Macaca mulatta: one gene and its partners. The protein of the gene in region 1 purifies or fractionates together with the protein of each later gene. This does not show direct contact. Links are inferred from orthologs where the notes say so. Each region holds a gene or a part of one and is shown in the gene's direction. Other genes may lie near its edges.

Region 1 (11,226 bases):
ATTGTTGAATCTAGGTTGGGCATACAGGTGTTCATTATATTAATCCTTTAACTTTTCTGAATATTTCAAAATGTTTATAACAAAAGTTTGGAGAAAAGAACAACTGGTCTTCAAGGCCTTCATTTTAGTGACAATCTGGGTTAAATTGTAAGTAATTTTCATGTGAATATTGTATAAGAAACACATGGTGCTCTAGTTTGATTATTTAACTTGGTGTATATCACTGTTGAGCATATCTGCATGAAGTACTGAAAATGAATTCATTATAACCAAGAAATCCTGATGTAAGAGCATAGACACACTAACCCTAACGTATGGTTGTTACTGGATTGATTTTTCAGCTATGGTATGAATTTGTCTTTTCCTAAGAAGAGCATTCACACACATGTTGCTATTTCAGTGACATAAAGTATCTCCTGGAAAATCATAGTTACTCATTCAGCCAAAATTTAGTGACACCCTACTATGTGTTAAGCCCTGTATTGGCCTCAGGGATACATCGGTACATGAAATGAGGCCTCTGCCATTGGGGAGCCACAGGCCACAGACTCTCACATGCCTAAGGACAGCCATGCCCTCGCCCATGGAAAAGTGCAGAGTTCTCTGAAGATTTTGCTTGCATGCAACCTAAAAAATTATGCATTGCATATCCTCATTTCTTGATGAATACAATTTTATATTTTATGTTTAAATGGTGGCAAAAGATGTAATTCCAGTTTAAAAATTGAGATTTTAAAATAAAATTGTTTCATTACTCTTTCTTAAATAGTCATAGTGTAGTAGCTTTATAATCTGTGTTTACTAACTTCCATACCTGAGGTTTTGTGGATGGTTTCTGCTACCTGTTGCGTGTTAGTTCTTGTGCTAAATGTGAAGTGTGTGTGTGTATTGTATATACACCAACACACACACATCTATCTGTCAAAGAATCTCCACAAATACATTTCTAGGGACAATGAGTAGCACTCAGGTACATTCTTCCACAGAGAATTGGTGTTTGCTTTTGCCAGGTGCTTAGGGGATCCCAGCAGTCCAAGATTACTTCAAACTAAATTCACTGCTTAAGATTATTTGATCACTAGGGTATGGATTTGGGGTACAGTCTATGCCAGGGCTGATTCACGGGTACAAATTTTCAGAAACTTTTAAAAAATAAGGCTCAGATAAGTTTCCTAGAAGTTTCCAGGAGAAGTCAGATTTACTTGGTTCACCATTCCGAGATAGCAGCAGTGCGGGTCTTGGGCGAGGCTCCTGGTGGAAGGTCCCTTAACAGATGCCTTACCTTGGGCAGGCTCTGGACTTGGACAGCCGTCCTTCTTGCTGCTAGAAACTGTCAAACAGAAGTTCAAGTTTGTCTGGTTCAGCAAAACAAAAGCAGCCTTCATGTTCCATTTACTTTTTGGTATTCTCTCCTGTCCTTAGATTTTGGCCCGGTAGGCCAGGTATGGTGGCTCATGCCTGTAATCCCAGCACTTTGAGAGGCTGAGGCGGATGGATCACTTGAAGTCAGGAGTTTGAGAGCAGTCTGGCCAACACGGTGAAACCCTGTCTCCACAAAAAATACAAAAATTAGTCAGGTGTGGTGGCACATGCCTGTAATCCCAGCCACTCAGGAGGCCGAGGCTAGAGAATTGCTTGAACCCAGGAGGCAGAAGTTGTAGTGAGCAGAGATCACACCACTCCAGCCTGGGCAGCAGAGTGAGGGAGACTCCATCTCAAAACAAAAACAAAAACAACAAAAAAAGATTTTGGTCTGGTAGTTACCTTACTATTTTTGTCAGGCCTTCAGTGCTTTAAAGAATCTGTTTTCTATATTTTTATATAGAATTTCCAACTGTTGGTCTAAAAAACCCAGTCTGCCATAGTCTTAGAAAGGGAAGAGAACATCACCACTTTTCTCAATACTTTACATGCGAGGGTCTTTTAACCTAGGATTCATGCATGGAGTTCAAGGCATCTATATACCCCCCTGAGATTGCAGGCAATGTTCTGTGTTTAACCAATTTTTTCTGAGAACAAAATCCATAGATTTTATCAGATTGTTAAAGGTGTCAATGATGGAGACACCCTCAAATTTGGTAACTATTGCTTTAGAGTTCTATCAGTACCTAGTAATTTAATTGAACTCTAATTCTGATAGATATCTATTGTTTTGTCCTCCCCCTTCTTGTGGGAGATGGTCTTTCTCCACTTCCACAAGGTAGTGTCCATTGTTCTTACCTGAACATGGCAGTTACAAGAACATGACAATGTCCATGTTCTTAAAGATCCTAGATCTTTGGCACAATCATTTGATTCAGGGGCAGGTAACTAGCTGGACCAATGAACTATCCTTCCCTGAGAATTTTTAACTTGGGACTAGAGATCATCAGCCTTACCTCGCCTATCTGATGATGGGGCAGAAGATGAAATGTTGGGAGCTGTCAGTGGCCTTGTTTCCAGACATATGGAGGAAGCTGGTCCAACAGTATGAAGCCAACGTGCAGAGAGAGAGGCAGAGCTGAGGCATGGGGGCAGAGAGGCATTCTCCTTCCAGTAGTCCCAGCAGTCCCTCCCCTTCTTGGAGTCTGTCCATATCAACAGTACCTTCCTCCCTTCTGCCTAGCAGTTGAGTTCCTGTCACTGGCAACCAAGAGAGGTGTGACTGATTCATGTATTGGAAGGGCTGTTGTGAGAACTAGTGCCTGACTCACAGTGGGGACTCAACAAATGTTGATTTATTACTCCTATATTTAATGCCTAAGTCTGAATGCGAAAAGGTTAGGGCAATTCCAGAAGGAATTACTATGCAGAAGGGAGAATTAGTTAAAAGGTTAACTTTCCTTTGAACATCACAAGGGAAGGCATGTAAAGACAAAAGGGGCCGGGCGCGGTGGCTCAAGCCTGTAATCCCAGCACTTTGGGAGGCCGAGATGGGCGGATCACGAGGTCAGGAGATCGAGACCATCCTGGCTAACACGGTGAAACCCCGTCTCTACTAAAAATACAAAAAACTAGCCGGGCGAGGTGGTGGGCGCCTGTAGTCCCAGCTACTCAGGAGGCTGAGGCAGGAGAATGGTGTAAACCCGGGAGGCGGAGCTTGCAGTGAGCTGAGATCCGGCCACTGCACTCCAGCCTGGGCGACAGAGCGAGACTCCGCCTCAAAAAAAAAAAAAAAAAAAAAAAAAAAAAGACAAAAGGAAGGCTCCCTCCACGCCCCCCATACACACACATTCCCTTCATCCTAACCTGGCTCTGCAGCTCTGAGGGTCACGTACCTGCCCTTGGCACTACCAGTACTTCCTCCAGCAAACCTCAGTCTTTCTTTCAGAATCCTTCGCCCTGATGCCATATAACATCTGATAGATCTGATCGTCCTGATCTTTTCCCCTAGTCTCAGCAGGCCAACAAGTGTTCTGCTACAGGTCTTCCAGGGAGGGTTAGCTCTTGTTGGAGTTGGATCGGAAGGAGGGGAGCTGGGGAAAGAGCTGTCTTCAAATTGTTTCTTGGGAGGTAGTATATATAAACATATTTAGGCAGGGCATAGCGGCACACGTCTGTAACCCCAGCACTTCAGGAGGCCAAGGCGTAAAGATCGCTTGAAGACAGGAGTTCGAAATCATACTGGTCAACATAGTGAGACTGCAGTGAGCCACTATCGCACCACTGCATTCCTGCCTGGGTGACGATGCGAGACCTCTTCTCAAAAAAAGAAAAAAAAAACATAAGCAAACAACAACAAAAAACAAATTTAAAGAATGGCTGTCTGCTTAATCATCAGGGCCAGCCCCTGAAATCAGTGGGTCCCTATTATGTAGAGTTCTTTCCTGCCTTGAGTAACATGAGTGACATCAGTAAACATTAGTCAAGCGCTGCTCTTTTTGAAAAACTGTATTTCATTATTTTTATTCTAAACCTTATTCTATTTGATGAAGATTGCGGGAGGGGCCCTCCCAATTTCACCACTCACACATAACAGCGGTTGCTAGCATTCTTTATTTGTGCTAGGTCATCTGCATATTGTTTAAACATTTTTCGAGGCTGGAAAGACTGCTCCCGCTCAGGCAATTCTGACTTGGCGGCCCTTCTAATTTGTATTCTCTAAATAATTCTTCATTTAGAGAAACAGTCAAGGATTACAGTGAGGGAGGGTGACGTGCTGATGGGGACAGAGCTTGGCCTAGGACCGTTCTTCCCTTAGCTCTGCGCAGGCAAGCGTCCCTAACTCGGTATCCGAACAGATCTCCCTTAAAGGAGGATTATGTTTCAACCCCCAGCCTCAGCGGTTTACTCAAATAGTCCTTCCAGCCAAATGCAGAAGTCTCCCTGGGAGTAATTTTGGTGAAGTCAGCGTTTGCCTTTTTCATCACAGTGAGGCTTTAGTAGTTCCTCAAAACGTGCACCACAACGGCCCGGGTGCCAAACAGAAATGCTGACGCCTGGGCCCACTCTAGCCATTCGGCCTCGGCATCGCGGTGCGGGAGCGTGGAGCGCAGACTCGCATTGTCACAGGCACCTCCCGGCCTCCCGAAGAGCCCCGCGCCGTAGCCTTTGTCTCGCACGTCGGCTGGGGCGGGCGCTAGGTTCTCGCGGCCTCTTCCCACTGCTCTGCGCCCCTCCAGAAGCGGTCACCAAAGCTCAGCTACTGATTAGGTTTCGGCCCCGCTGTCCGGCGCATTCTCGGCGACTACCCCAGGTGGCCCAGAGCACGCGGTGATTCACCGCACCCCCGAAAAAGGTCCTTCCCCGCCTTAGCCTACAACCGAGCGTGCGCACCGCGGCCGCCGGAAGTGACACTGTCTGTCGTTGGGGAGCTCCCGCCCCTTCCGCCTCGGCGCCCCGCCCAGGCCTCGCCCCTAGGTGTTCCCGCCCCTCCCCCTCCCTTGTGGTTCGCTTTCTGTCAGCCTCTCTCCCTCTCCCTCTCCCCTCTCCTTCCTCTCGCTTCCTCTCTCGCACCTGAGCGCACGCACCTGCCCGGGCCCGGCTCCCTCCTCCTCCTCCCCGCCCTCTTTCCCCGCCCGGCCGCGGGAGCTCGTGGCTGCGTCACCGCCACCCCCCCAGACAAGATGGACACCGCGGAGGAAGGTAAGTCGGCGACGCGCGGCGCCCGAGCCCTTGCGTCGGCTCCCGGGTTCGTGCCCCGGCCAGGTCCGCGGCGCTCGAGGTGGGCGGCTGGAGCGCGGCAGGGCGGGCGCCTGGGCCGTTTGCCCACCCGCGGGGCCTCTGGTCCGGGGAGCGGAAGGTGACCCTCGGCGCGCCCCCAGCCGTTTCCCGCCCGCGCCGCCGAGGGGGGCGGGGACCCTGCCGGGCCGGGCCCGGGTCCTGGGGCGTCGTGGCTGCTCCGGGCCGGCGTGGCCTCCCTCGTCCCCGCCGTCGCGCGCTGGCCCAGAAGAGGGGGCCGCTGTCGCTGCCGCTGCCGTCCGGGGGCGTTTTCCGCACCCTTCCCCCACTGGGTTTTGTCTTTCTTTACGTCCTTCTGCCTATTGCTCGCCAGGCCCTACCCCCTCGCCACAGAACTTCTTTGTTGACTTTGAAACTTCGCGAAAAATACCCCGCCAGGTGACTGCCGAGTGGAGTGAGCTGACCCCTATTGAAAAGCCCGGTCCTCGGCTAGCCTGCAGCTCGAGAATCTGTTTACTAAACGGAGGGGGGGCTCTTTTGTTGCGATCCATTTGGTTTTAAATCCTTGACACCTATAAGCAGGGTTCTCTTGGTTTTGTTTTGCGATTGCCTGTTGGATACGGTTACTTTGAACAAACTGACCCTTCTACAATGAATACCTAAGATGTAAACGTCCACACCTTATGTCTCTTCAAGCGCATTTTCTTACCCACTGAAGGTAGTAAATTATTTTTAACCAGCTGTGTTTTTAAATGAGTGGTGAGTTTATAGAGGAAATTACTAAATTATTCTGCCTTTTTTGATGTTCCGGTTATCGGTGCAAATGCTTTTCTACTTTAGGTATATTTATGGGGGGTATAAGCGTCTTTCAACCTTATAGGTTGTGATTTTGGCAATTTTAAATGAAAATGAATTATCAGACGCCGTCATGGGGTGCAGTAATGAGTGAAAAAAGTTTGATAATATCTCTGTAATGAGTTGATAACGACTTATTTTTTTAAAAGAAGTCTTGCCTTTAATAAAAACCTCAACTATAACATGTGGCACTTGCTGTACATTCGCGTTTGATCTTCCCAAAAGGCCTGTGGAATAGGTAGGTATTATCTTTTATAGATGTTGAAATGTAGGCTTCGTTGTTTTAATAGCTTGTCGAAGCTTTACACAGGTAGTAAGAGACAGATTTGAATGTAGGCATTCTGATTGCAAATAATTTCCCTTTCATTATGCCACAGTATGTTTATTATATACACTGAGTGTAGCTAATCGCCACTGGAGACGCCTTTGGAAAAAATAGTAAAGCGAAACTGCTGAAGGTTGGGAACTATTTCTTTTTGACAGGTGGTCCTTTGTGTAAAATTTCCATCTATGTAGGTTTCACATCCTTTCAGATTCAAGTTTTAATGAATAAATCTACTAAGGCATGCATTTATCACAGGATAAGTACGGACGTATTATATTCAATTCTCATTCTTTTGGCCTGGGCATTGCTACTTGCATACTTTTATGGTGTGACAGTAACCTATGGTAATTCAGGAATTGCGCTCGAAGCACGTATGGAATCATGAAATATTTTCATTGTACTTCTAGTGCTTAAATATATTTTTTCTCTTGTAAAATTATAATCAGGATAAGGTATACATGACATTTATTTGTTGAACACTGTTCTCTGTTAAAATAACATGTGCTGAAGACTCAACGGGTAGAATATGCTTTACTAAACACTTTATATACATTTCATTTAATTCTGTCAACATCGTTAAGTAGGCGGCATTTTCATTTTACAGATGAGGGAACTGATGGTTAGTATGATTAAGTAACTTGTCCAAGATTATACAGGTAGTAAATGGCAGAGGCACGATTCAAGCTCATGTCTGTCAGACTCTGCACTTAAATTAGATATTTATTTATAAGTGGATACTAAATGTCCAATGTTGGAATTTATTTTTGTCACTCCCTCTATAGGATGGATCATTTTTATAATTTGGCGAAAATTTTATTTTGCTTTATTTTATGAAATTAGTAGTCATGAAATGCAAGTGAATTTTAGTGCTGTATTCTCATGCCTGCTTTTGCAAAATTCCAATTTGGAAGTCTTCTGACATTTTTACGATAAAATTTAAGTTGAAATAACACTTAAAGGAAAAGGGAGGGTTATAGAGGATTAAAAATAATAGAGTGAAGATGCCAAAAAACTAATAAATGTTCTATTTGCGAAATCAGTTATTATAGATTATTTCTTTAAAAAATGCAACTTAGGTTTTTAAAATCTGTTATTTTTTGGTAGGAGATATTCAAAATATGGCCAAACATAAAACTAAATTGAAAAAAAATCAGTATCACCTACTTTTGAAAACACTAATGCTGTTGTGGTTCTGTTTTTTATTTATTTTTTTTGTTTTCTGAGACGGAGTCTTGCTCTGTCGCCCAGGCTGGAGTGCAGTGGTGTGATGTCAGCTCACTGCAACCTCCACTTCCTGGGTTCAAGCAATTCTTCTGTCTCAGACTCCTGAGTAACTGGGATTACAGGAGCGTGCCACCTCTCCCTGCTAATTTTTGTATTTTTAGTAGAGATGGGGTTTTGCCATGTTGGCCAGACTGATCTCGAACTCCTGACCTCAGGTGATCTGCCTGCCTCAGCCTCCCAAAATGCTGGAATTATGGGCATAAGCCACCGTTCCTGGCCGGTTCTCTGCCCTTTAAAAATATATTTTAATATTCCACGCAAAGAGATTAAGAATAATGTTACAAAAACACCAACCATGCGCATATAGTGTGTAGCTCTTCCCTTTTAAAAATAGCATGTTGCTTGCCTCTGATGGTACCATATATGATAGTCTAGTGCTCAGAATGTTATGCATTTGTAGTAATACTCAGTTCTGACGTGGCCCTTTCATACTAATTGTTTGCTAGATTTTAAAGATCTCTTAAGTGTCTTCAGTATTAAATTTTTGTAAAATCAACAGGTTCATAATCCATTCTCATGATACAGGGATGGATGAATCATTCTTACTGTGTATATGTTATTTGTGAGTGCAGATGTGTTATGTCAATTGCTATCCATCCGCACATTTTTAAACTTCAGAGCTGTAGGAGACCTTAGACATTTGCCCTCCTCATTTTATGGGTTAGGAGTCTGATCCTGCAATGCACTTGAGATTTCTCAGTTTCACAGAAAAATCTATCCCTTGCTCAAGGATATACTTTTTTTTTTTTTTTTTAAAGGAAAAGCAGTACAATATTGGAATAGATGTTGCAAGTGTTGATGTGAAGTTCTCAAAGATAATATTATTTTGTCATAGAATGCCCACATTTCGGCTCAGTGATATAAAGCTGACTTTTTTTTTTTTTCTATTTTGCTAAATTACCGTTTGTATTAGCAGAACATAATACAAAGTCTTAGTTATTTTTTTATGGAATACCAAAGCAGTTGTTCTTTATGCTTTATGGAACATATTCATTCGAAAAGTGTGAAGCTAAAGAGTATTATGGTTTGAGGTAACTTAAATTTGGAAGAAATGAGTTAAAAGGATAGAAAGTTGTCAGAATCAGACAGCTAGTTACTCTCTTTCTAGAACCACATGGTCTTCTTTGTTTCCAGAGATGTCTGCTGCATGTTTCTTACCATACATCACCTTTCACTGTTTTGGCATGTTTGTGACCAAGTGTACATGCATTTATTTGCTAAATGCTTATTGAGGACCTGTTATGAGCCAGGCACTATTTGATGCATTTGGGCTAGGCAAGGAACAATATAGAGAAAATCCTTTCTTTCATAGAGCTTACATTATAGTTATTAGCTTAAGACAAAATAAACATGTAATAAATTATATGGCATAACTCGAAGGTTATAAATGCTGTGGAGAACAGTGAATTGGGAGGGAATAAGAAGTGCCAGGATATGAGGGCAAGGGTTGCTGTTGGTTTTTGTTTTTGTTTTTTTTTTTTTTTTTTTTTGAGACGGAGTCTTGCTCTGTCACCCAGGCTGGAGTGCAGTGTCGTGATCTTGGCTCACTAGGTGTTGCAGTTTTAAATATAGCAGTAAAGGAAGGCCTCACTGAGAAGGAGCAAAGGAGAAGGAGTTAGCCCTGCAGATACTCTGGGCAGAGCGTTCCAGGCAGAGGGAATATAGCCTGTGTGAAGTCTCTAAGATGGGAGCATGCCTAGAGTGTTCAAAAAATAACCAGGAGAGCAGTGTTGCTGTAATGGAGTGAGAGTTGGGAGAAGAGTAAGTATAATATGAGGTCAGAGAGATCATGGAGCCAATGAGGAATGAGCATGTAGGACTTCACTGACTTTTACTTTAGTGAGATAGGGACCTATGGGAGGGTTTTGAGCTGAGGTGAGACATAAATTGTCTTGATATGCAGCCAGCCTTCTGTATCTGGGTTTTGCATCCATGGATTCATCCAATGTCAGATGGAAAATACTTGGAAAAAAATAGATGATTGCATCTGTAGTGAACATGTACAGACTTTTTTTCTTGTCATTATTCCCTAAACAATACAGTATGACTACATAACATTTATGTTATAATTATTCTAAGTAATCTAGAGATAATTTAAAGTACAGTTGACTCTTGAACAACATGGGTCTGAACTACATGGGTCCACTTACACATGGATTTTTTTCTTTAATATATTGGAAAAAATTTTGGAGATTTGCAACAATTTGAAAAAACTTGTAGATGAACTGTGTGGTCTAGAAATAGTGAGAAAGTTAAAAAGTTATGTCATTAATGCATAAAATATATGTAGATACTAGTCTGTTTTACTCAGTATCAAAGTATATACAAATCTGTCATGAAATGTTAAAATTTATCAAAACTTACACATACAAACATGTAATGGAGACTGCACATGGCACTGTTCACAGTTGGGAGATGTAAAGAAACTTAGATACAATATTAAATCATAACTGCATGAAATTAACCTTAGTGCATATTGTGCTACTGTAATAATTTCATAGCCACCTTCTGTTGCTGTTGTGGTGAGCTCAAGTGTTGCCAGTATCCTGTCTGCTTAAAACACCTTGTGAGGCTAATCACCTCTGCATGAGCCATTCATCTCTCCAGTAAATTGTATATGGTAAAAAGTATGGATTCTCTGGATTCTCTTGTATTTTTCATTGCATTTAGTGCAGTACCTTAAACTTTGACTAACAGGATGGGATCCATATGAGGTGCCGCTAAGTGATACTGGAAGAGCTCCAGGAAGCTGAAAAAAGGCATGACATTATGAGGAAAAAGTCGAATTGTTTCATATGTGCCATAAATTGAGGTTTGTAGCTGTGGTTGCTGGCCATTTCGGAATGATTTATCTTGTAAATAGACAGGTATCGATAAATATATGGTACAGTGCTGTAAATGTATTTTCTCTTCCTTCCGATTTTCTTAATTTTTTTCTCTAGCTTTATTGTAAGAATAAAGTATATAATATTGAATACAGTATATAATACATATTACAGTACATATTGTAAGAATACAGCATATAATGCAATACATATAATACAGTTTATGCATTCATGGCATAATTTTATTTTTTTTGCTCCTACACAGTTCATCTGTTTTTTTTTTTAAATTGTTCCGAATTTCCAAAAAAATTTCCAATGTATTTATTGAAGAAAAAAATCCATGTATAAGTGGATGCATGCAGTTCAAACCGTGGTGTTCACAGATCTGTACTCTAACTCATCTCTAGAGTACTCATAATACCTGGTATGATGTAATACAGAGGCCGGGCACGGAGGCTCGCGCCTGTAATCCCAGCACTTTGGGAGGCCTAGGCAGGCAGATCACCTGAGGTCAGGAGTCCAAGACCAGCCTGGACAACATGGCGAAACCCTGTCTTTACTAAAAATACAAAAAATTAACTAGGTGTGGTGGCGGGTTCCTGTAATCCCAGCTACTTGGGAGGCTGAGACAGGAGAATGGTGTGAACCTGGGAGGCGGAGCTTGCAGTGAGCCCAGATCACACCATTGCATTCTAGCCTGGGCAACAGAGCAAGACTCCATCTCAAAAAAATAAAAAAATTTTAAAAATGTAATACAAAATATGTATTAATTGACTGTTTATGTTGTATTATGTTATGGTAAGGCTTCTGGTCACCAGTAGGCCATTAGTAGTTTTT
Region 2 (10,444 bases), on another chromosome or scaffold:
CAGCCATTCCAACTCTGCTACTTCCTAAATGAATTTGGTGCTTGTACTTGGCTTGGTATTCTTAGTGGGAAGCTCACACTAAAATCTCCCTTGTTAGGGAGATCCAGGGTGGTCTTAGCATACTCTTTCCTAGTGAGAACCCCAAATACACTGACATGTGCTGAAGTAAGTGTAGGTAGGGATTAAACTGGCTCGGGAATACCAACTTTAAGAGAGTTTCCAGATACCTTATTCTCTGAATGAGAGTTCAGGGAAAGCCTGGATACTCTTGGCATTAACATTAGGGGCCAGTTGATGAGGAAGAAGCTTCAGAGCCAGCTTCCTGTTTGTCCTGTCACTGCCTCTGCCTCTGCCTGCTCCTCCCTCATACCCCCATATTTCCTTTTCTGTAGAAGAGAGTTGCCAGCAACTTGCCAGGCCTCTTTCTGTCAGAGCTAGAGAAACCAGGCAATGCATTCTGTTGTATAAGATTAACATTCTTGCCTTTTTTTTTTTTTTTTTTTTTTTTTTTGAGATGGAGTCTCGCTTTGTCACCCAGGCTGGAGTGCAATGGCACGATCTCGGCTCACTGGAACCTCTGCTTCCCGGGTTCAAGCAATTCTCTTGCCTCAGCCTCCCGAGTAGCTGGGACTACAGGCGCACGCCACCACGCCCAGCTAATTTTTGTATTTTTAGTGGAGACGGGGTTTCACCACATTGGCCAGGATGGTCTCGATCTCTTGACCTTGTGATCCGCCCGCCTCAGCCTCCCAAAGTGCTGGTATTACAGGTGTGAGCCACTGCTCCTGGCCCATTCTTACCATTTTTTAAATAAGGCTAAAAGTATAAGGTATGGTAATGTGTGTTCATTCTACACCTACAGTACTACATTAACATTTTCCCATTTGTGATTCTAGTTGCAGTTGCCAATATCTATGCCTGTAAGGGGCTAGACAGGATTGAGGAGAGACTGCCTATTCTGAATCAGCCATCAACTCAGGTGAGCTTGGGACAAAAGTGCTGAGGCTTGACACTTCACATGTTTTCATGTTCTATCTGTTAGCACAAGCTGTACATACCACAAATAGGCAAATACTTAACTTGTTTTCCCAACCTGGATCTGGATGTGTGTTTGAAAAATAATAGCCGCTTCCTTACTTCCTGAACTGTTGTCAAGTTGTATCTATGAAGCAGAGAAGAACTAACCTCCTTTGGATTAGAAAACTTTTAGTGTGGTGTCTATCAATTTGTGTCTTTGCTCCTGTAGATGAAATTGCTGTCTCAAGTAACTGATTCTCTTGTGGTATTAAATAAATGCAGAGTAACTGATTCTCTTGTGGTATTAAATAAATGCAGAGTTGATATATATATAAACTTTTCTCACCTGGCTTGTACAATGCTGCCAGGAACTACCATCCACATGGGATAGCTAGCCAGTGTTGACAAAAATGATAGGCTCATCTGTCCTGGTGATCCTTTGATTCAGATAATGTCCTAAAATTTTGTTTCAAATTAAGAATACAGAATGGCACAAAAGGATACCAGTTAGGGAAAAATATAGCTCTGTGTCTTTTCATAATCTAAATGCAGTCATCTGTCAGTTAGTGATGGGAATATGTTTTGAGAAATGCATCATTAGGTGATTTTACCATTGTGTAAACATCACAGAGTATACTCACACTAACCTAAATGGTAGAGCCCAGTGGTCCCCAAGCTTTTTGGCACCAGGAACTGGTTCCGTGGAAGACAGTTTTTCCATGGATCGGCAGGGGGCGGGTGGTGTTTTTGGGATGATTCAAGTGTACTATATTTATCATTAGATTCTCATAAGGAGCAGACAACTGCACGCATGCGCATGCACAGTTCACAGGGTTAGGGTTAGGTCTCCTATGAGAATCTAATACCGCCTCTGACTGGTAATGGACTGGTAATGGTCCATGGCCCGGGGGTTAGGGACTCATGGTATAACCTGCTATATACCTAGGCTGTATGGTATATAGCCTGTTGCTTGCTTCTAGGCTACAAACCTGCACAGCATGACTACATTGACTACTATAACACAATGATAAGTATTTGTGTATCTAAACGTAGAAAAGGTACAGTGAAAAAAAAAAAAGGTATACCTGTTATAGGGCAGTCCATTATAATCTTTTGGGACTATCATCGAATATGTGGTCCATCGCTGACCAAAATGTTATGTGGTTCACAACTATAGATAAGTTTAGTGTATAGCCTTTAGAATGCTTGTGCAAATCTTTTAAATTTTTCACTTACATTGCTTGAGACTATGCTAATGGTGAGAGCTATTTTCCATTTTGAATATTTTCTTTAAATGTTGGTGACTTGTGTTACCAACACAAGTTTGGCTCACTGCAGCCTCTTCCTCCTGGCTTCAAGTAATTGTCCTGCTTCAGCATCCCTAGTAGCTGGGTTCACAGGCACGCCCCGCTACACCCAGCTATTTTTTTTTTTATTGTTTGTTTGTTTTTGAGATGGAGTTTCACTCTTGTTGCCCAGGCTGTAGTGCAATGGTGCAATTTTGGCTCACTGCAACCTCCACCTCATGGGTTCAAGCGATTCTTCTGCCTCAGTCTCCCAAGTAGCTGGGGTTATAGGCATGTGCCACCACGCCCGACTAATTTTTTGTATTTAGTAAAGACAGGGTTTCACCATGTTGGTCAGGCTGGTCTTGAACTCCTGACCTCAGGTGATCCAACTGCCTCAGCTTTCCAAAGTGCTGGGATTACAGGCGTGAGCCACCATGCTGGCCATGTATAATAACTGCATACTAATAACACCCTGAGGGCCAGGTTTAGTTTGATCTTCAGTTTCCTTTCTGAAATTATGTGACTTTGAAATAAGCTATATAACTTACCTTTTCTTTTCTCTTTTCTTTTCTTTCTTTTTTTCTTCTTTTTTTTTTTTTTTTTTTGAGACAGGGTCTTGCTCTGTCACCCAGGCTGAGTGCAGTGGCACAATCACGGCTCACTGCAGCCTTGGCAAACAGACAGATTTCATATCTGTTTACTTCATTTGCTCCTCCAGCAATTCCCAAGGATTGGCAGGTAGGGCAGATACACTTGATAGGGAAATTCAGGCTCATCAACTCTTAGTGACTTGCCCAAGACCTAAAGCTAGAATGAGAGGACTAGATTCCTTTAACTCTTCACCTGTGCTGCCTTAGCTAAGACCTTGAGTATGTCCTTGTGCTCATGTTTCTCACCAGCCAAGGGATCTGCTTTTCAACTTATAGATTGTTGCCAATGCCAAAGGTGCTGTGACTGGGGCAAAAGATGCTGTGACGACTACCGTGACTGGGGCCAAGGATTCTGTGGCCAGCACGATCACAGGGGTGATGGACAAGACCAAAGGGGCAGTGACTGGCAGTGTGGAGAAGACCAAGTCTGTGGTCAGTGGCAGCATTAACACAGTATTGGGGAGTCGGATGATGCAGCTCGTGAACAGTGGCGTAGAAAATGCACTCACCAAATCAGAGCTGTTGGTAGAACAGTACCTCCCTCTCACTGAGGAAGAACTAGGTAACTGGAATTTTATCTTCAAATACTGTTTTATATTAAATCTTTTTTAAACAGCTTCATTGACATACACTCCTATCTTTAGTCTAAATTTACACAGTTGTGCAAGCATCACCGCAATACAGTTTTAGAATACTTCTGCTACCCCAAAAGATCCTCATGCCTGTTTGCAGTCAATCCTTTTTAATTTAATTTAATTTTATAGAGATGGAATCTCACTATGTTACACAGGCTGATCTCGAACTCCTGGGTTCAAATGATCCACCTGCCTTGACTTCCCAAAGTGTTGGGATTACAGATGTGAGCAACCACTAATCTTTTTGCCTTTATAGATTTTCCTTCCTAAAGCAATCATAAAGTTCACATTGAATTGTACATAGTAAGTTTTCAAACTTTAGCAAAAATTGGCCTTGAAAAATATTTTCTGTAAATGGATTGCTTTATAAAATCCTCATTACAAAGAATCATCATTAGGTAATGTGTGCCAGGTATCATGCCGCTCAAGTTCACTGTAGGCTGGGCACAATGGTGCATGCCTATAATCCCAGCACTTTGGGAGGCTGAGACAGGCAGATCACTTGAGTTCAGGAATTTGAGATTAGCCTGGGCAACATGAAGAAACCCTAAAAAACACAAAAATTAGCTGGGCGTGGTGGCTTGTTCCTATATTCCCAGCTACTCGGGAGGCTGAGGTGAGAGGATCAGTTGAGCCTGGGAGGTTGAGGCTGCAGTGAGCCAAGATTGCGCCACTGTACTCCAGGCTGGGCAACAGAGCAAGACGCTGTTTCCAAAAAAAAAAAGGGCAGTTTACTCTAGTGGAAAATACGTGTAGATGCATGCAGTGTGTAGCAGATACAGTAATATGTTCAGGGTAGTCAAGTCCAGCAGCAGACATGAGCAGTCTTGGAAAAATGACTACATGATTGCTAAGTGATTGGGTAGAAGTAAGAAAGTCAAGACCCAGGTTTGAGTCCAGGCCATATCAGTTGTCGCTGTGATCCCTTAAGTTTTTTTATCTCTTATTTCTAACTTCAGAAAAAGAAGCAAAAAAAGTTGAAGGATTTGATGTCGTTCAGAAGCCAAGTTATTATGTTAGACTGGGATCCCTATCTACCAAGCTTCGCTCCCGTGCCTACCAGCAGGCTCTCAGCAGGGTTAAAGAAGCTAAGCAAAAAAGCCAAGAGACCATTTCTCAGCTCCATTCTACTGTTCACCTGGTGAGTAAAACTTTATTTTAAGGTATCTGAAGTGGGTTCATTTATCTCTAGGACCAAGAATTAATGTAATCACAAAATCCAAGAATTTCACTGTTACTTGAACAACCCAATAGAAAACTGGACAAAGAATATGAAGACAGCTCACAGAAAAAGGAAGTATAAATAGCTGAAATATATGAAGTAATGCTAATCTCGCTCTGAGGGGTCAAGTACCAACATCTCTCTTGTCCTGCCACACAGGAAATGTGGCTGTTGGCAACGGTGTAGAAAAAGAACCACACTTACACAGCTCTTGCTCTAAGGGACTGATTCAAGAGACAGTTTTAGGAAAGTTACAAACATACCCACTCTTCGAGCAGTTTTTTACTTTTTATCTTTCGGATGTGTTTATTTGTTTAAAGTTGCAAGAGACTATAACAATGGACATCCACTAACAGGACTAATTAAATTGATATATCACAATAGACTACTGTAGCCATTAAAGGTTGCCAAGTTAGAGAACAGTATGTACCATTCTGTACTGCCATAAGAAAACCATTTCTTCCTTGAAGGGGAAATAGGTGGTTGGCAACAGGGAAGAGGAAGGTCAAATTCCTTTCTGTTTTGTAATTCTAACATCCTTTACTCATGTGCACATTAAATTTTAGTTGCTGGCTGGGCGTGGTGGCTCATGCCTATAATCCCAGCACTTTAGGAGGGCAAGGTAGGCGGATCACTTGAGGTCAGGAGTTCGAGACCAGCCTGGCAAACATGGTGAAACCCTATCTCTACTAAAAATACAAAAATTAGGTGGGCATGGTGGCATATGCCTGTAATCCCAGCTACTCAGGAGGCTGAGGCAGGACAATTGCTTGAACCCAGGAGACGGAGGTTCAGGGAGCTGTGATCACTCCACTGCACTTCAGTCTGGGTGATGGAGTGAGACTCTCTCAAAAAAAAAAAAAAAAAAAATTTTTTTTTTCGTTACTTTACCTGTGCTAAACTGGAGGTAAATTTGGAGTCAGTGATTTAACAGTTAGAGGCAGTAAAGAGCTATTACTGCTTGGTTAATTTACACATACTGATAATAAATAACAATGATAGCAGGAATAGATCTCATTCAACTCCAGGAAATTCTTAGTTTTTTTTTTTTTTTTTTTTTTTTTGAGACGGAGTCTCACTCTATCGCCCAGGCTGGAGCGCAGTGGCCAGATCTCAGCTTACTGCAAGCTCCGCCTCCCGGGTTTATGCCATTCTCCTGCCTCAGCCCCCCGAGTAGCTGGGACTACAGGCGCCTGCCACCTCGCCTGGCTAGTTTTTTGTATTTTTTTTTAAGTAGAGACAGGGTTTCACCGTGTTAGTCAGGATGGTCTCGATCTCCTGACCTCGTGATCCGCCCGCCTCGGCCTCCCAAAGTGCTGGGATTACAGGCTTGAGCCACCGCGCCCGGCCAATTCTTAGTTTTTATATTGCCTGATTTACATCATACATCTGCAAATGGGCTAACATGAATATCTGACTTGCGTGTTCCTTTGTCTTGTTTCAATGTGTCTAGATTGAATTTGCCAGGAAGAATGTGCATAGTGCCAATCAGAAAATTCAGGATGCTCAGGATAAGCTCTACCTCTCATGGGTGGAGTGGAAAAGGAGCATTGGATACGATGATACTGATGAGTCCCACTGTGCTGAGGTAAGATGACTGGGACAGTCATTCGCTGATTTCTGAAGAAGTTCTTGTCAGACTTTTCATTTCAATTCTTCCATACTATGTCTTAGAATACTCTTCTGTATCAAAAGGTTGAACGATACCATGTGCATAGGTGGCTAGTTATGTGGCAGAAAAGCAAAACTAGGCAGGGAATAATTTTATCTAACAACCTATGAGTATACATATGCCCCAAGTGAGATACAACTAAATGAGAAACATAGGCCTTGCCCTCATAATGGGTACAGAATAACAGGGGATACAGCCAGCCATGCTGTCCTATTGTGCCTTTTTTTTTTTTTCCAATGCTCCTTGCAGAAGAGGGCTATCCCATAGGCAGTACGCTCAGAGTAGCCAAGTCCGGTTGTTTTTTAACAGCATCAATACAGGCACTATTGGCCGCGCGCGGTGGCTCACGCCTGTAATCCCAACGCTTTGGGAGGCCGAGGTGGGCAGATCATGAGGTCAGGAAATCGAGACCATCCTGGCCAACATGGTGAAACCCTGTCTCTACTAAAAATACAAAAAATGAGCCAGGCATGGTGGCACGTGCCTGTAGTCCCAGCTACTCGGGCGGCTGAGGCAGGATAATCGCTTGAACCCAGGAGTCAGACGTTGCAGTGAGCCGAGATCACACCACTGCCCTCCAGCCTGGGCAACAGAGCAAGACTCTGTCTCAAAAAACAAAAGAAAATATATGGGAAGACTATCTCAGGCAGCCTTGGAGTAGGGGTAGGTGAGTCACATTGCTTCCTGGAAGAGATGAATGGTAAACTGAGAACTAATGGGTGAATAAACTAAGTGAAAGGGCAATAAGGTGACTAAGGTTCTGGAGAGAAGACATAGCATCTTGGCTGGGTGCAATGGCTCACACCTGTAATCTCAGCACTTTGGGAGGCCAAGGCAGGCAGATCACTTGAGCCCAGGAATTCAGGACCAGCCTGGGCAACTGTGAAACCCCCATCTCTACAAAAAATGCAAAAATTAGCAGGGCGTGGTGGTGTGCACCTGTAGTCCTAGTTGCTTGGGAGGCTGAGGTGGGTGGATCACCTAAGCCAAGAGGTCAGGGCTGCAGTGAGCCATGATTGTGTCACTGCCTTCCAGCCTGGGAGACAGACTGAGACCCTGTCTCAAAAAGAAAAAAAGAAAAAAAAAAAAAAAAAAACAGAAAGAAATATCCTCTAGGATATTCTAGGAAATGTCCTAGAAAGTGGTTCTTTGCTTCCCAAAAGCTCTGAAGTCAGTAAACAGTGTTTCACCATTTTGGCCAAGATGGTCTCCATCTCCTGCAAGGAGCATGTCTTGTCATCTTATTTGAGGAGGGAATATATATATTACATTACTAGAATGAAGTACATTTCCATTCTTTTGGGTCTCCCCTACCTAATATGTTTCTTCAGTTTAAGATGATGAACTTTGGAGACTCAGGCACTAGTTCGAATCCCTACCCAGCTGTTTTCCAGTTGTTAACTGAAGCCATCTACTTAAACTCTAAGCTTATATCCACATCTATGAAATGTGAATAATACTGCTGCACTCGGCATTGTAATGAGGATTTTTAAAAGCCGAAGAATCCATATATGTGGTGGCCACATAACCAGCTTACTGTCATTGAACTAACTTAACATAGCACTGCTGGATCCACTGCTAATTTTAAGTTTTATTTTTAGCACATTGAGTCACGTACTCTTGAAATTGCCCGCAACCTGACTCAGCAGCTCCAGACCACGTGCCACAACCTGCTGTCCAACATCCAAGGTGTACCGCAGAACATCCAAGATCAGGCCAAGCACATGGGGGTGATGGCAGGCGACATCTACTCAGTGTTCCGCAGTGCTGCCTCCTTTAAGGAAGTGTCTGACAGCCTCCTCACTTCTAGCAAGGGGCAGCTGCAGAAAATGAAGGAATCTTTAGATGATGTGATGGATTATCTTGTTAACAACACGCCCCTCAACTGGCTGGTAGGTCCCTTTTATCCTCAGCTGACTGAGTCTCAGAATGCTCAGGACCAAGGTGCAGAGATGGACAAGAGCAGCCAGGAGACCCAGCGATCTGAGCACAAAACTCATTAAACCTGCCCCTGCACTAGTGCATGATGTGGCCAGGCAGATGACCTGTTATGTTGAAATTAACTTGCTAGGCAACCCTAAATTGGGAAGCAAGAAGCTAGTAAAAAGGCCCTCAATTATAGTTGTTTCTAGCTGAATTAAGAGCTTTAAAGTTTCTGGCATTAGCAGATGATTCTGTTCACCTGGTAAGAAAAGAATGCTAGGCTTGTCAGAGCCTATAGCCAGAACTCAGAAAAAATTCAAGTGCACTTACGTTCTCATTCTGTGGCCACTGTGTTGCCTCTGTTCCTGTTTGTATTGAATAAAAACATCTTCATGTGGGCTGGGGTAGAAACTGGTGTCAGCTCTGGTATGATCTGAAAAGTCCTCTTCACTGGTTTATCTCATGATGATTACTTGTAAAACTTGATTTTAGCTTTTTATTTCTCAAATAGGAATAATACTACGTTTGAATTCAATAAAATTCACTGCAGGATAGACAAGTTACATGCTGTTTGTTCCATATGCTTTGTGTGTTGCTTTCGTAGAGCTGCTTAACCTGCATGACAGAGTTATTATACATACATGAATTTCAGTTGGCCTGTTGGGGAATTTGGCAGAGTGAGAACATTGGAAGGCTAATGTTAAAAATGGGATGCTTGATAACAGATTAAAAAAAAACTAAAAGCTGATGTGCATACTCAAATTTTACTAGGTGACAGTTGGCCCTCTTTGTTTGCCAACTTACTGGACCCCTGTGAGTGGGTTGGTTTGTTTGTTTGTTTTTGAGACGGAGTCTCGCTCTGTTGCCCAGGCTGGTGTGCGGTGGCCGGATCTCGGCTCACTGCAAGCTCCGCCTCCCGGGTTTACGCCATTCTCCTGCCTCAGCCTCCTGAGTAGCTGGGACTGCAGGCGCCCGCCACCTCGCCCGGCTAGTTTTTTGTATTTTTTAGTAGAGACGGGGTTTCACCATGTCAGCCAGGATGGTCTCGATCTCCTGACCTCGTGATCCGCCCGCCTTGGCCTCCCAAAGTGCTGGGATTACAGGCTTGAGCCACCGCGCCTGGCCTGTTTTTAAACCAGTAAAATGTCCTAATCATGTCTGACTACCTTACTGAAAAGGAATCAGAGCTGAAAGGAAGCAAGTGATTATTTAAATCAGTGTCATGTAAAGTCACTGGGCATTTCTTGCCAGGGAACCAGTTAAAGTGTGAGTCCTAAAGAGAGATTCTTCAGTGTCCAGCCTCAGCTGGACTTTACTTACTGTGTTGTTATTTTGGGAGAAAGTCACTAACCTCAGTTGTTGTTGGGGAGGTACATATAGAAGACCATGTGAGACTAATTAGAAGTAAAAAGACTTTAAGCCCCCTGTAGACAAAGGTTCTTTTTTTTTTTTTGACACAGGCGTGAGCCACTGCGCCCGGCCGACAAAGGTTCTTCTTACCTCCTGCCTATAGTATCCAGACTTCTAGTCCATTCAACATTGGTTATTTAGGAACTATCCTGAATCTCCTTATCATGCATATGCAATATGTCAAACTAGTTTTTAAAAGTGAGTCTCAGAACTTGTGAAATAGGCCCGGCACTGTGGCTCACACCTGTAATCCCAGCACTTTGGGAGGCCGAGACAGGCAGATCACCTGAGGTTAGGGGTTTAACACCAGCCTGACCAACAACGTGAAACTCTGTCTCTACAAAAAATACAAAAATTAGCCTGGCCTGGTGGTGTGTGCCTATAATCCCAGCTACTTGGGAGGCTGGGGAAGGAGAATCCCCTGCGTCTGGGAGGTGGAGGCTGCCGTGAGCCAAGATCTTGCCATTGCACTCCAACCTGAGCGACAGAGTGAGACTGTCTCAAAAAAAGAAAAGAACAAGGCCGGGCGCGGTGGCTCAAGCCTGTAATCCCAGCACTTTGGGAGGCCGAGACGGGCGGATCACGAGGTCAGGAGATCGAGACCATCCTGGCGAACACGGTGAAAC
Region 3 (10,444 bases), on another chromosome or scaffold:
TCTTTGGCCTGTAGTCCAGATTAAGTCTGGTGTTTCTTTGTTGTTTATCTGTCTGGATGATCTATTCAGTGCTGAAGGTGGTGTGTTGAAGTCTCCAGCCATGATTGTATTGGAGTCTATCTCTTTAGTTCTAATAATATTTCCTTTATATGTCTGAGTGCTCCGGTATTGGATGCATATATAATTGTTACATCCTCTTGCTGAATTGACCCCTTCATCATTATATAATGACCTTCTTTGCCTCTTTTTATAGTTTTTGTCTTGAAATCTATTTTACTGATGTAAGTATCATTACTGCTGTTTTTTGGTTTCCATTTGCATGGAATATCTTTTTCATCCCTTCATTTTCAGTCTGTGTGTCTTTATAGGTGAAGTGTGTTTATTTTAGGCAACAGATCGTTGGTTCTTTTTTAAAATCCATTAAGCCACTTTATGCCTTTTGAGTGAAGAGTTTAGTCCATTTACATTGAATGTTACTATTGGTAAGTACATACTTACTATCGCCATTTTGTTATTTGTTTTCTGGTTGTTTTGCTGTCTTTTCTTCCTTCCTGTTTCCTTTTTGTGAAGGTAATTTTCTCTGGTAGTATGTTTTAATTTTTTGCTTTTAATTTTTTTGCCTATCTCTTGTAGGCTTTTGATTTGAAATTACCGTGAAACTTGCAGATCATATCTTATAACCCATTATTTTAAACTGATGACAACTGATTCTACAAACAAGCAGAGAAAACTAATAAAAACTCTACACTTTAACTTTATCCCCCTTGCTTTTTAACTTTTGTGAGTTTTGTACCTTCATGTAATTGCTTACTGCTCGTTAATGTCCTTTTCTTTCATATTGAATAACTCACTTCAGCATTTCTTGTGGGAAAGGTCTGGTGTTGATTAAGTCCCTCGACTTTTGTTTGTCTGGGAAAGTCTCTATTTCTTCTTCATGTTTGAAGGATATTTTCTCTGGATATACTATTCTAGGATAAAAGTTCTTTTCCTTCAGCACTTTCAGTGTGTCTTGCACCTCACTCCTGGCCTGTCAGATTTCCACTAAGTCTGCTGCCAGACATACTGTATGTTTCCATAGGAAACATACAAAAGCACAATGATACTATGTACTGCCAGACATACTAAGCCAGGAGTTTCACACCAACCTGGACAATAAAGCAAGAGCCCATCTCTACAAAAAATTAAAAGATGAGCAAGGCATGGTGGCGTGTGCCTGTAGTCCCAGCTATTTGGGAGGCAGGGTGGGAGGATCTTTTGCTCTAGAGCTCCGTTGTTTGTTGTTTCCTTTCTCTTGCTGCTTTTAGGATCTTTTTTTTTATCCTTGACCTTTGGGAGTTTGGTTATTAAATGGCTTGAGCTAGTCTTGTTTGAATTAAATCAATCACCAATCCTTGCTTGGTGTTCTGTAGCCTTGTGCTTAAATATTGGTATCTTTCTCCAGATTTGGGAAGTTCTCTGTTATTTTTTCTTCGAATAAACTTTCTACCCTGATCTTTCTACCTCCTTTTAAAGGCCAAGAACTTAGATTTGCTCTTTTGAAGCTATTTTCTAGATCTTGTAGGTGTGCCTCATTCTTGATTATTCTTTTTTCTTTTGTCTCCTCTGTGTATTTTCAAATAGCCTGTTTTCAAGCTTACTAATTCTTTCGTCTGCTTGATCAGTTCTGCTGTTGAGATTCTGCCGTGTTCTTCAGTATGTTAATTGAATTTTTTATCTCCAGAATTTCTGCTTCTTTTTAATTTCAGTTGTTTCGTTAAATTTATCTGATAGCATTCTGAGTTCCTTCTCTGTGTTGTCTTGAATTTTGTTGAGCTTCTTCAAAACAACTATTTTGAATTCTCTAAAAGCTCACATCTCTGTTACTCTAGGATTGGTCACTGGTGCCTTATTTATCAGAGTTAATTTAGTGAGTTTATGTTTTCCTGGATGGTCTTGATGCCTGTGGATGTTCGTCAATGTCTGGGCATTGAGAAGTTAGGTATTTATTGTGGTCTTCGGAGTCTGGGCTTGTTTGTACCCATCCTTCTTGGGAAGGCTTTCTAAGTTTTCAAAGGGAAGTGAGTGTTGTGATCTAAGTCTTTGGACATAGCAGTCGTATCTGCATTAGGGGGCACCCCAAGTCCATTAACATTGTGACCCTTGCGGACTCGTAGAGGTACTGCCTTCGTGGTCTTGGGTGATATCTGGGAGAATTCCCTGGATTACCAGGAAAAGAACTCTTGGTTCTCTTCCCTTATTTTCCCTCAAACACAGAGTCTGTCCTTTTGTGCTGAGCTGCTTGGAACTGGTGGGGGGAGGGGTGACACAAGTATGCCTGTGGCCACCACCACTGGCCTGTGCCGAGTCAGACCTGAAGCCAGTACAACACTGGGTATTGCGCCAGGCATGTGGCGATGACTGCCTGGTCACCGCTGATGTTCCCTCAAGACTCAAGAGCTCTACAGTTAGTACAAATCCAGCCAGGCTTGTGCCTTTCCCTTAAGGGCAGTGAGCTCCTGGGGACCCAGGACTGGTCCAGAAATGCCGTCTAGGAGCCAGGGCCTGGAGTTGGGAACCTTAGGAATCTACTTGGTGCTCTATTCTACTGTAGCTGAGCTGGCACCCAAACCTCGAGACATATTCCTTCCCACTCTTCCCTCTCCTTTCCTCAAGCAGGAGCCTCTCCCCTTAGCCACCACTGCCCCAGGCCTGCAGTGGGTACTGCCTGGCTGCGTCTGGTGTTCACTCAAGGCTCCAGGGATCTTCAGTCAGCTGGTGGTGAATGCCGCTAGTCCTGGGTCTCTCCCTTCAGGACAATGGGCTCCCCTGTCACCCAGGATGGATCCAAAAATGCTGTCCACGTGCCCAGACCTGGAATCAGGGATCCCAGGAACCCCCTTGGTGCTCTGTCCCACTGGCCAAGCTGGTACCCAAGCTGATTTTTGGTTCTTATGAAGGTGCTTTCCTTTGTGGACAGTTGTTCGTTTTAGTGTTCCTGTGTGGGAGGAGGATGATCGCCAGAGGACTTGCTTTTTATGCCTGGATACCTGTAGATGGCCTGGATACCTGTAGATTCCTTTTATTTTCTTCATATTTTAATTTTAAGGCAGCCTTATAAATGTATTGACATTGTTGGACTTGTCATTAGGTGTGTATATGAGTTTCATGAGGGCAGAGACCACACTCTTGTTATTACTGTATCCCTAGTGCCTGGCCACCTATTAGGTACCCAATATTGATTCAAACAACTCTTGAATTTTTGCCTCAGCAAATTTTAATCATGATTTGTTTCCATGTATTTTCACATTTTTCTTAATAGTAGCTTACATCAGTAATCTTTATACATTGAGTTGTCTTTCTTTTTGTCTCAAGTGATGCTCTAAGATAAAATCTTCATTACCTCTCTTCATAGGTGTTCTTCTTTTGGGAGACGCATACAATATGAGGCATCCACTTACTGGTGGAGGAATGACTGTTGCTTTTAAAGATATAAAACTATGGAGAAAACTGCTAAAGGGCATCCCTGACCTTTATGATGATGCAGCTATTTTTGAGGTAAGATCAATTATTTTGACAAAAATGTCTCAAAATGGATTTATTTCTGAGGGTTAAGAGCAGTGGGGCTCTGATGGGGAGATCTGTACTAAGGAACCTGAGCTTTATAATAGCTCTTAGGCATCTTGCTTAGGCTTGAAGAACCTGACATGCAACCTGCGAATCATAGAGAATTTCTAAATTTGAATATTATGTAACACTGGATTGCTATGGGCCACTTAGCTCATGGTGGCTGTAAATTTAGCTTCAGTGTCATATAACCCATTGCTCTGAAGGTGATTTTTTTTTTTTTTTTGGTAAATGATAAACATAAGGCAACATTACTTGCAGATAGTCCTTAGAAGGATAAATGTCAGTTTGAGGGGATTATAAACATCAGTTTGTGCTTTTTTATCCTTGCCATATAATAAATGAGCTATTTCTTTTTTAGGCCAAAAAATCATTTTACTGGGAAAGAAAAGCATCTCATTCCTTTGTCGTGAATATTCTTGCTCAGGCTCTTTATGAATTATTTTCTGCCACAGATGGTAAGTGTAGCACTTTTTAGTGAGTATTTCTCAATTGCAGATTTTTAGCATAGGAAAGGAATAAAAAAGTTAGTGATTTGTCCAGAAATAAAGATGTTACCTGAGTTTGCTAACTCCCAAGTTGGTAGTTTTTAAAAAAATTCCATTTTGAGCAACAGTTTTAGTTTTAGTTTGGAAGGGAAACTTTAGTTTTAGTTTGGAAGGCAGTGGAATTTCCTTAGACAACATTAATAGTATTGCCTCAGTAACATATTCATTATTTTGAATTCCTCTGGTGCAGACTAGATCATTCATGTCCCCACACACACAAGATTGTGATGGAAGGTGTTTTTGGCCATGTATTAAAAGGCAATAGTCTTTTTCTTCCTAACACTAGTTTCAATTTCTTTTTAACGTAGTATTTTATAAAATGAATACGAGCTGTTAATCTTGTCCCTGTTAAAAAGCACAAGTAACAATGCGTTCACCCTTTACTTATTTGGACTATTTTGGTGCTTTTGTTTCTGTTTCCATATTATAGAGAGGTCATGGTCAATGTATATATTATAGAAAACACAACTTAGCAGAAGCAGTGTTAGAAATGGAGGAAAAGAGGCCAGGCGAGATGATTCATGCCTGTAATCCCAGCACTTTAGGAGGCCAAGGCAGGAGGATCGCTTAAAGCCAGGAGTTTCACACCAACCTGGACAATAAAGCAAGACCCCATCTCTACAAAAAATAAAAGATTAGCAAGGCATGGTGGCGTGTGCCTGTAGTCCCAGCTATTTGGGAGGCAGGGTGGGAGGATCACTTAGGGCCAGGAGTTTAAGGCTACAGTGAGCTATATACAGTGAGCTAAATACAGGGAGCTATATGAAGTGCCACTGCACTCAGCCTGGGCAACAGAGTGAGACTCCATCTTCTAAAATGAACAAACAAAAAATTAAAAGAAATGGAGGAGAAAAGGCAACTGTGCCACCTCCTCACCACAGCAGTGTACACATCAGTTTAATAGTAGGTTAATGAAACTAGGCTTTTCAGTTTTCAAGAATAAATATTGACTCAAATGCCATTACTCTAGTATATCTGCAGCATAGCTATTTGTATAGATCATACAAGGCCCTAGTGGTAAGTGCTGTGGTTATAATTACAAAAGATGGTACAGTATAAAAATGCTTTCTGTAGCTTCTATAACCATTAACTCTTCCTAAGAAAAAAAGAACCACCACCAAAAAAACCCCCACAAAACCACCAGTCTCACTGGTTGTGATTTTTCCAAACAAATTTCTCTTGCTAAATTGGCATAGAAGTTAAAATGGCTGGTTGGGCAAATGAAAGTAACTAAGTTTAGAGTTTGGGGCAAATAAAAAGAAAAGAACTAAGTTTAGAGTTTTGGGCAAATAAAAAGAACTAAATTTAGAGTTTTTCTCAGCTCTTCTTTCTAAGCTTTTCTGACTTCTTGAGTTCTTACATTATGAATTTGAATCTACCAACAAAACATTTTTTAAAAGTTACAAGATTGGAGGAGGAAAGACCTTTATTGGAGCAAAAGTTTACCTGTTGCATCCTTTACTTTTTAAAAATCTGTTGTAAAGAAAAATCTAGGCATACCTGAACAGAACATTGATTCTAAATGGTTAAAAAGGTTATCAATTGATTATACGATATTGTGAGGGTTTTATGAGTTACTTTGAAAGGTATAAAAACTTTATAGATATAAGGAATTACTATTTATCGCTACTCACAGCTCTTCTTTTCACTTGATAATTTACTTCTTAGAGATACTGGTTGGGCATCTTAGAGACTGGGAATCTGGTTTCTAGAATTGTGTTAAACAGAGCTTCCAAAGTATTTTGCATCACTTAATGAATTAACAGCAAAATCAAGGAAGTACCTTTTAAACAACTCTTCCAAGACCTAAATATTAGTAATTATTTACTAACAGAAAGAAGTTTATTCATATTTGTATTACTCTCCATAATGCTGATTATGGAATTTAAAAGAAATCCTGGTAGTTGAAATTCTAGGACTAGATATTTAAAAATTATCTGCAAGATGTAGCGTTTGTTCTCATTTTTTCTGATATATCATTAGGATCCTACATAAGTGTGTACACATATTTGATTATTTTTACAATTTTATTTTAGATTCCCTGCATCAACTAAGAAAAGCCTGTTTCCTTTATTTCAAACTTGGTGGTGAATGTGTTGCGGGTCCTGTTGGGCTGCTTTCTGTGTAAGTTGTGATGGCACAGAGGATACAAATCTGCCAGATTTTCTTAGGACTGTTCAGTTGATGAATTACTGCAAATCTTTCTTCCTTACACATTTTGATATTTTTTTATCTATTAGTATCCGAATGAGAAGGTGGCCCAAAGAAATGAAGAAAGGCAATATTTAGTGCTGTTTTCTTTCTGGGAACAGCAGTTTAAGGTGGTGGTAGAGGAAGCTGTAACCCTTGATTAAAATAGAAGCTTGTTTTTTGCCTATGGATTTATCCATATGTTCTGGTCTCTGGGAGCCAGGAATAATTGAGAAATTTTAATTGAGAAATTAGTTTCATTGAAGTACAGGGACTTATACAACCCCATATTAGTTTTGAACATACAGACATATGTGGAGCTATTCCTGGAAAGTCTACAAAGTGAAATCTTTCGAGTTATTTCTCATCTGCAAAGTGATCCTTTGAGTCATTTCTCATTAGTCTATAATCTGAATGTTAATACTGGTATTTTTAAAAGCCCTACATCCCAACAGACCAGGCCATCTAGGTATTTTAGCATGGTATCTCAGGATGAGTAAACAAAACAGCCAAAAATATATGACTTATGTAAACTAGAGTTACAGGAGTTACTAGCTTCTCTGAAAGGGATATAGTCTAAGTATTTTTTCTTATATATTTTTAAAAAAAAGGGCAGGGGAGTTTGCTCCTGCCATCAAACTTAACATGCAGACATGTTTGTGAAGTCCTCTAAAATACAGAATGTTTGATACAGAATGATGGTGCTTGGGTGAAAAAACGTAGGCTGTTTGTTGGGCTTTACAGATTATATGTAATTGGAATGTTTGGAGTAAATTTTAGTTTCTGAGTCTTACCAATATGTATTTTTTTTCTATTACAGATTGTCTCCTAACCCTCTGGTTTTAATTGGACATTTCTTTGCTGTTGCAGTCTATGCCATATATTTTTGCTTTAAGTCGGAACCTTGGATTACAAAACCTCGAGCTCTTCTCAGTAGTGGTGCTGTTTTGTACAAAGCGTGTTCTATAATATTTCCTCTCATTTACTCAGAAATGAAGTATATGGTTCATTAAGCTTAAAGGGGAACGATTGGTGAATGAATATTTGGAACTTACCAAGTCCTAAGAGACTTCTGGAAGAGGAGGTGTATAGCATAGTACCATACCACTTCTAAAGTGGAAACTCTTGGACCCAGATTTGGATTAATTTGTTTTTGAAGTTTTTTGTATATAAATATTTAAATACATGCTTTAATTTGCAAAATGAAGGGTAAAACAAGTTAGATATTTAAAAGAAATGATTGTTTACCATAAATTAGTGCTAATACTGAGGAGAACTACAGTTTTTCTTTTGAATTTAGTATTTGAGATGAGTTGTTGGGACATGAAAATAAAATGAAGAATGAACTTTCATGTCTTTTTGTTTCTTGTTGTGGGCTCATTTACATAGCTTCATGATAATGAAAAAAAAAAAAAAAAAACCAAAGTGGGATGAAAAGTGCAGAGGGAAACCTGTTCTATTAAATAACTGGGGAAGTTGTTGCCTTAATGTCTTCACCTTGATTTCCTCATCTCTCTAGTGAAACAATTTGATAAGGTTATTTTCTTTAAAAAAAATTACTTATTTATATTATTTTGGGGCTGTGACTCAGATTCGAACTGAAAGGTTCTTTGCTGAGTTCTCTAAAAATATCAGATTCTGACAGGAAGGACAATCAAGGGCTTTATAAGTTCCACTGTATAACATTTATAAACCAGGCCAGAATGACATCAAGAAACAGTGAACAAATAAGCACTTGTAATACCCAGTATAATACCTTAAAATCCATTAGAATTGACTGGGTTTATCTACAGTAAATTTGAAGAGACTATGGACGTTCAAAGGGTATCATAAAAGTTCAGTAAATCTCCAAATATCATGAAAGTAAATTGTTACTTCTGAAAGAGCAGTAAAATATAACCTGGCAAATTAAGTTACTACTTGAGATTCTAACAGGGCTAAAATAACTTATAAAGCTTTTACAATAAAAATTTCAATTTTTAAGTTCTTTCAGTTGAGAAAAATACTGGCCAAATCACTAGCAAGCCTTGTTTTAGCAGAGTATATGGTGGACCCATTTGCGTGGTTTCATAAGATTCCCATCTAACTGACCCTAAACTTCTATTTTCTGGTTAAAAACTCACTTTCCCAGATCTGGCCTTTTTAGCAGTTAGCTTTCTTTTCAGAGAACTAAAGATCTCACTTCATGTGGTTATTGTTAACAAGATTACAAATGAAAAAGAACAAGGTATCTTTGAGATATAGATGTTCCCACACACAATCTTTGCAGGTGGTGAGACTTCCAAGCTCCCTACATACCAAGCAACAGTTCACTTAAAATTCTGCCCTGGCCTCGATGCCCTCATGCCCAGGATTAGAGGCTACCCTTGTTCTCCATTGAGACTCCTTGAAAATCCTTTCTACTATGATAGTGAAATAATCAAAGCCTATCAAGTCTTCCCTTCAATATCAGAATTTGAGGCCTTCAGACAAAAGAAATAACATCATAAAATGAGAAAACTGAAGGAACCTGAGAAATCCTTTAGTCCTAATTTTACAGATGATGCCAATGGGCTGGCTTGGGACAAGGTGTAGCTTGTGGCAGAACCAGGACTCAAACTTTGCCTCCTGACTACAAATCAATGCATCTTCCCCCACCACTAGCAAAATGACTGTCAAACAGATTTTGGCTTCTGGGTTTGGTTTGGTTTGGTTTGTTCCTTCCTTTCCAGAGGAGGACATAACCATAGAGATTCAGGGTGGAAACATCGTTCTTGCTCTCATCTAAGTTGTTGATGTTCAAGTTGCCACAGTAGGATGGCAGTGATACGGTGTGGCTCTGTGTCCCCACCCATATTCCTTCATATCAGTGTGATAACAGACTAGCAGGCAGCTTCCTTTTCAGGGTAATTTTCATGCAGAAATGATTTAGGATTTCGAGGGAGTTAAGCTTACGGCAAGGCTATTACCAAAAAGGACTGCGGATAATGACATAGTTATGGGGACTTGGGACAGGACTTAGGTTGCTGAGGAAGATACTGGAAGGAGCAGCTTTGTTAAGAGTCCTACAGAAGGAATGCTGTGGACCCCCAGGGCATCTGGGATTGGAAGAGGATGGTGAGACACCAAGAAACTTCCATGGTACATGACACACATTGTGTGGCCACTCCATTTGCTACTCGTCTGGCTATCACCATGTGCCTGCCAGCTTGTTGGGGGTGAACTAATATATCGAGCAGAGTCATCTCTTACCTTCCAAACAGGGTTTTTTACAGGGTGAATATATAATTTTTGAATCATAAGGAGAGACGACTTTGGGTACTGGCAATACTATTTTACTGAAAATCTGGAGTTGCACAAATAGTTCTTTAGAACATAAAACTAAATGGATTTATACATAACAGTTACAGTCGGCATTTATGAGAGGCAGTACAAAAATGTGTTCTGCTTTTACATGATATAAATTGCATGTAATACCATGATTTAAACACTATCAGTTACATTAACTAATGCCATGAGATATATCTTACTCAGAACGTCTTAAGTTTCCCATAATGGAGAGCAAAAAATGCAGTTATATGAACAACTGAGTTTCTTTTCATTTTCAAATTCATTTTAGTGATGATGGGAAGATCTAAGGACAATCCTTCCATTGAAGAAGTAGGAAAAAACAGTTACAGCACTGTTCTGAACTCATCAAAAATGAAATTAGGCACATGTGCTTCAGCAACCTGAAAAATTAAAGAATTAAGTTATTCATGGTGTTATAGTTGAATAAATTGAAAATTTGCACGCAAAAAAGAGAAGGTATCCTTGGAGCAAGGTCAATAACGGAAGAGGAGACTCCCATGGGCGGACAACGCCTTGAAACAGCCCCTTTCTGTTTCTGGTGCCCTCTGGACGACAGTCTCATTTCTTGGCACTGCTAACATTTGAGGGGACGCAGTACAGCTCTCCCGCCTCCAAACGTGAGCTCCTTGGCTCTTAAAGGCACCTTGATCTGCGAGGAATGTTCATGCCTCTGGGAAGTACTGACAAGTACTCAGGTCACCTAACACACTTTATTAACTGATGACCAACAAAGGAAAACCAGGATGGCTGGCAAGTGACAGGAATGGAGAAGT

Evidence for each region.
Region 2: the proteins of MARCHF6 (region 1) and perilipin-2 purify together in Homo sapiens (affinity purification with western blotting; 3 studies listed by BioGRID). This does not show direct contact. The link is inferred for Macaca mulatta from reciprocal best matches to the Homo sapiens genes MARCHF6 and PLIN2.
Region 3: the proteins of MARCHF6 (region 1) and SQLE purify together in Homo sapiens (affinity purification with western blotting; 4 studies listed by BioGRID and IntAct, with this or other methods). This does not show direct contact. The link is inferred for Macaca mulatta from reciprocal best matches to the Homo sapiens genes MARCHF6 and SQLE.

The regions. Positions count from the first base shown.
Region 1 is NC_133411.1:11,495,765-11,506,990, forward strand, and holds the start of MARCHF6 (E3 ubiquitin-protein ligase MARCHF6), read left to right. Parts: upstream 1-5,038; 5' UTR 5,039-5,045; coding exon 5,046-5,064; intron 5,065-5,264; exon of another isoform or gene 5,265-5,818; intron 5,819-11,226. UniProt on the Homo sapiens protein: Endoplasmic reticulum membrane-associated E3 ubiquitin ligase that plays a critical role in mitigating endoplasmic reticulum stress, the regulation of cholesterol and lipid homeostasis, and ferroptosis.
Region 2 is NC_133420.1:80,070,890-80,081,333, forward strand, and holds part of perilipin-2, read left to right. Parts: intron 1-896; coding exon 897-979; intron 980-3,232; coding exon 3,233-3,518; intron 3,519-4,550; coding exon 4,551-4,732; intron 4,733-6,266; coding exon 6,267-6,401; intron 6,402-8,086; coding exon 8,087-8,377; coding exon of another isoform or gene 8,378-8,488; exon of another isoform or gene 8,489-8,971; intron 8,972-10,444. UniProt on the Homo sapiens protein: Structural component of lipid droplets, which is required for the formation and maintenance of lipid storage droplets.
Region 3 is NC_133413.1:135,453,241-135,463,684, forward strand, and holds the end of SQLE (squalene monooxygenase), read left to right. Parts: intron 1-3,391; coding exon 3,392-3,534; intron 3,535-3,964; coding exon 3,965-4,061; intron 4,062-6,187; coding exon 6,188-6,275; intron 6,276-7,161; coding exon 7,162-7,354; 3' UTR 7,355-7,690; downstream 7,691-10,444. Other genes in the region: WASHC5 (WASH complex subunit 5), read right to left, coding at 9,995-10,051. UniProt on the Homo sapiens protein: Catalyzes the stereospecific oxidation of squalene to (S)-2,3-epoxysqualene, and is considered to be a rate-limiting enzyme in steroid biosynthesis.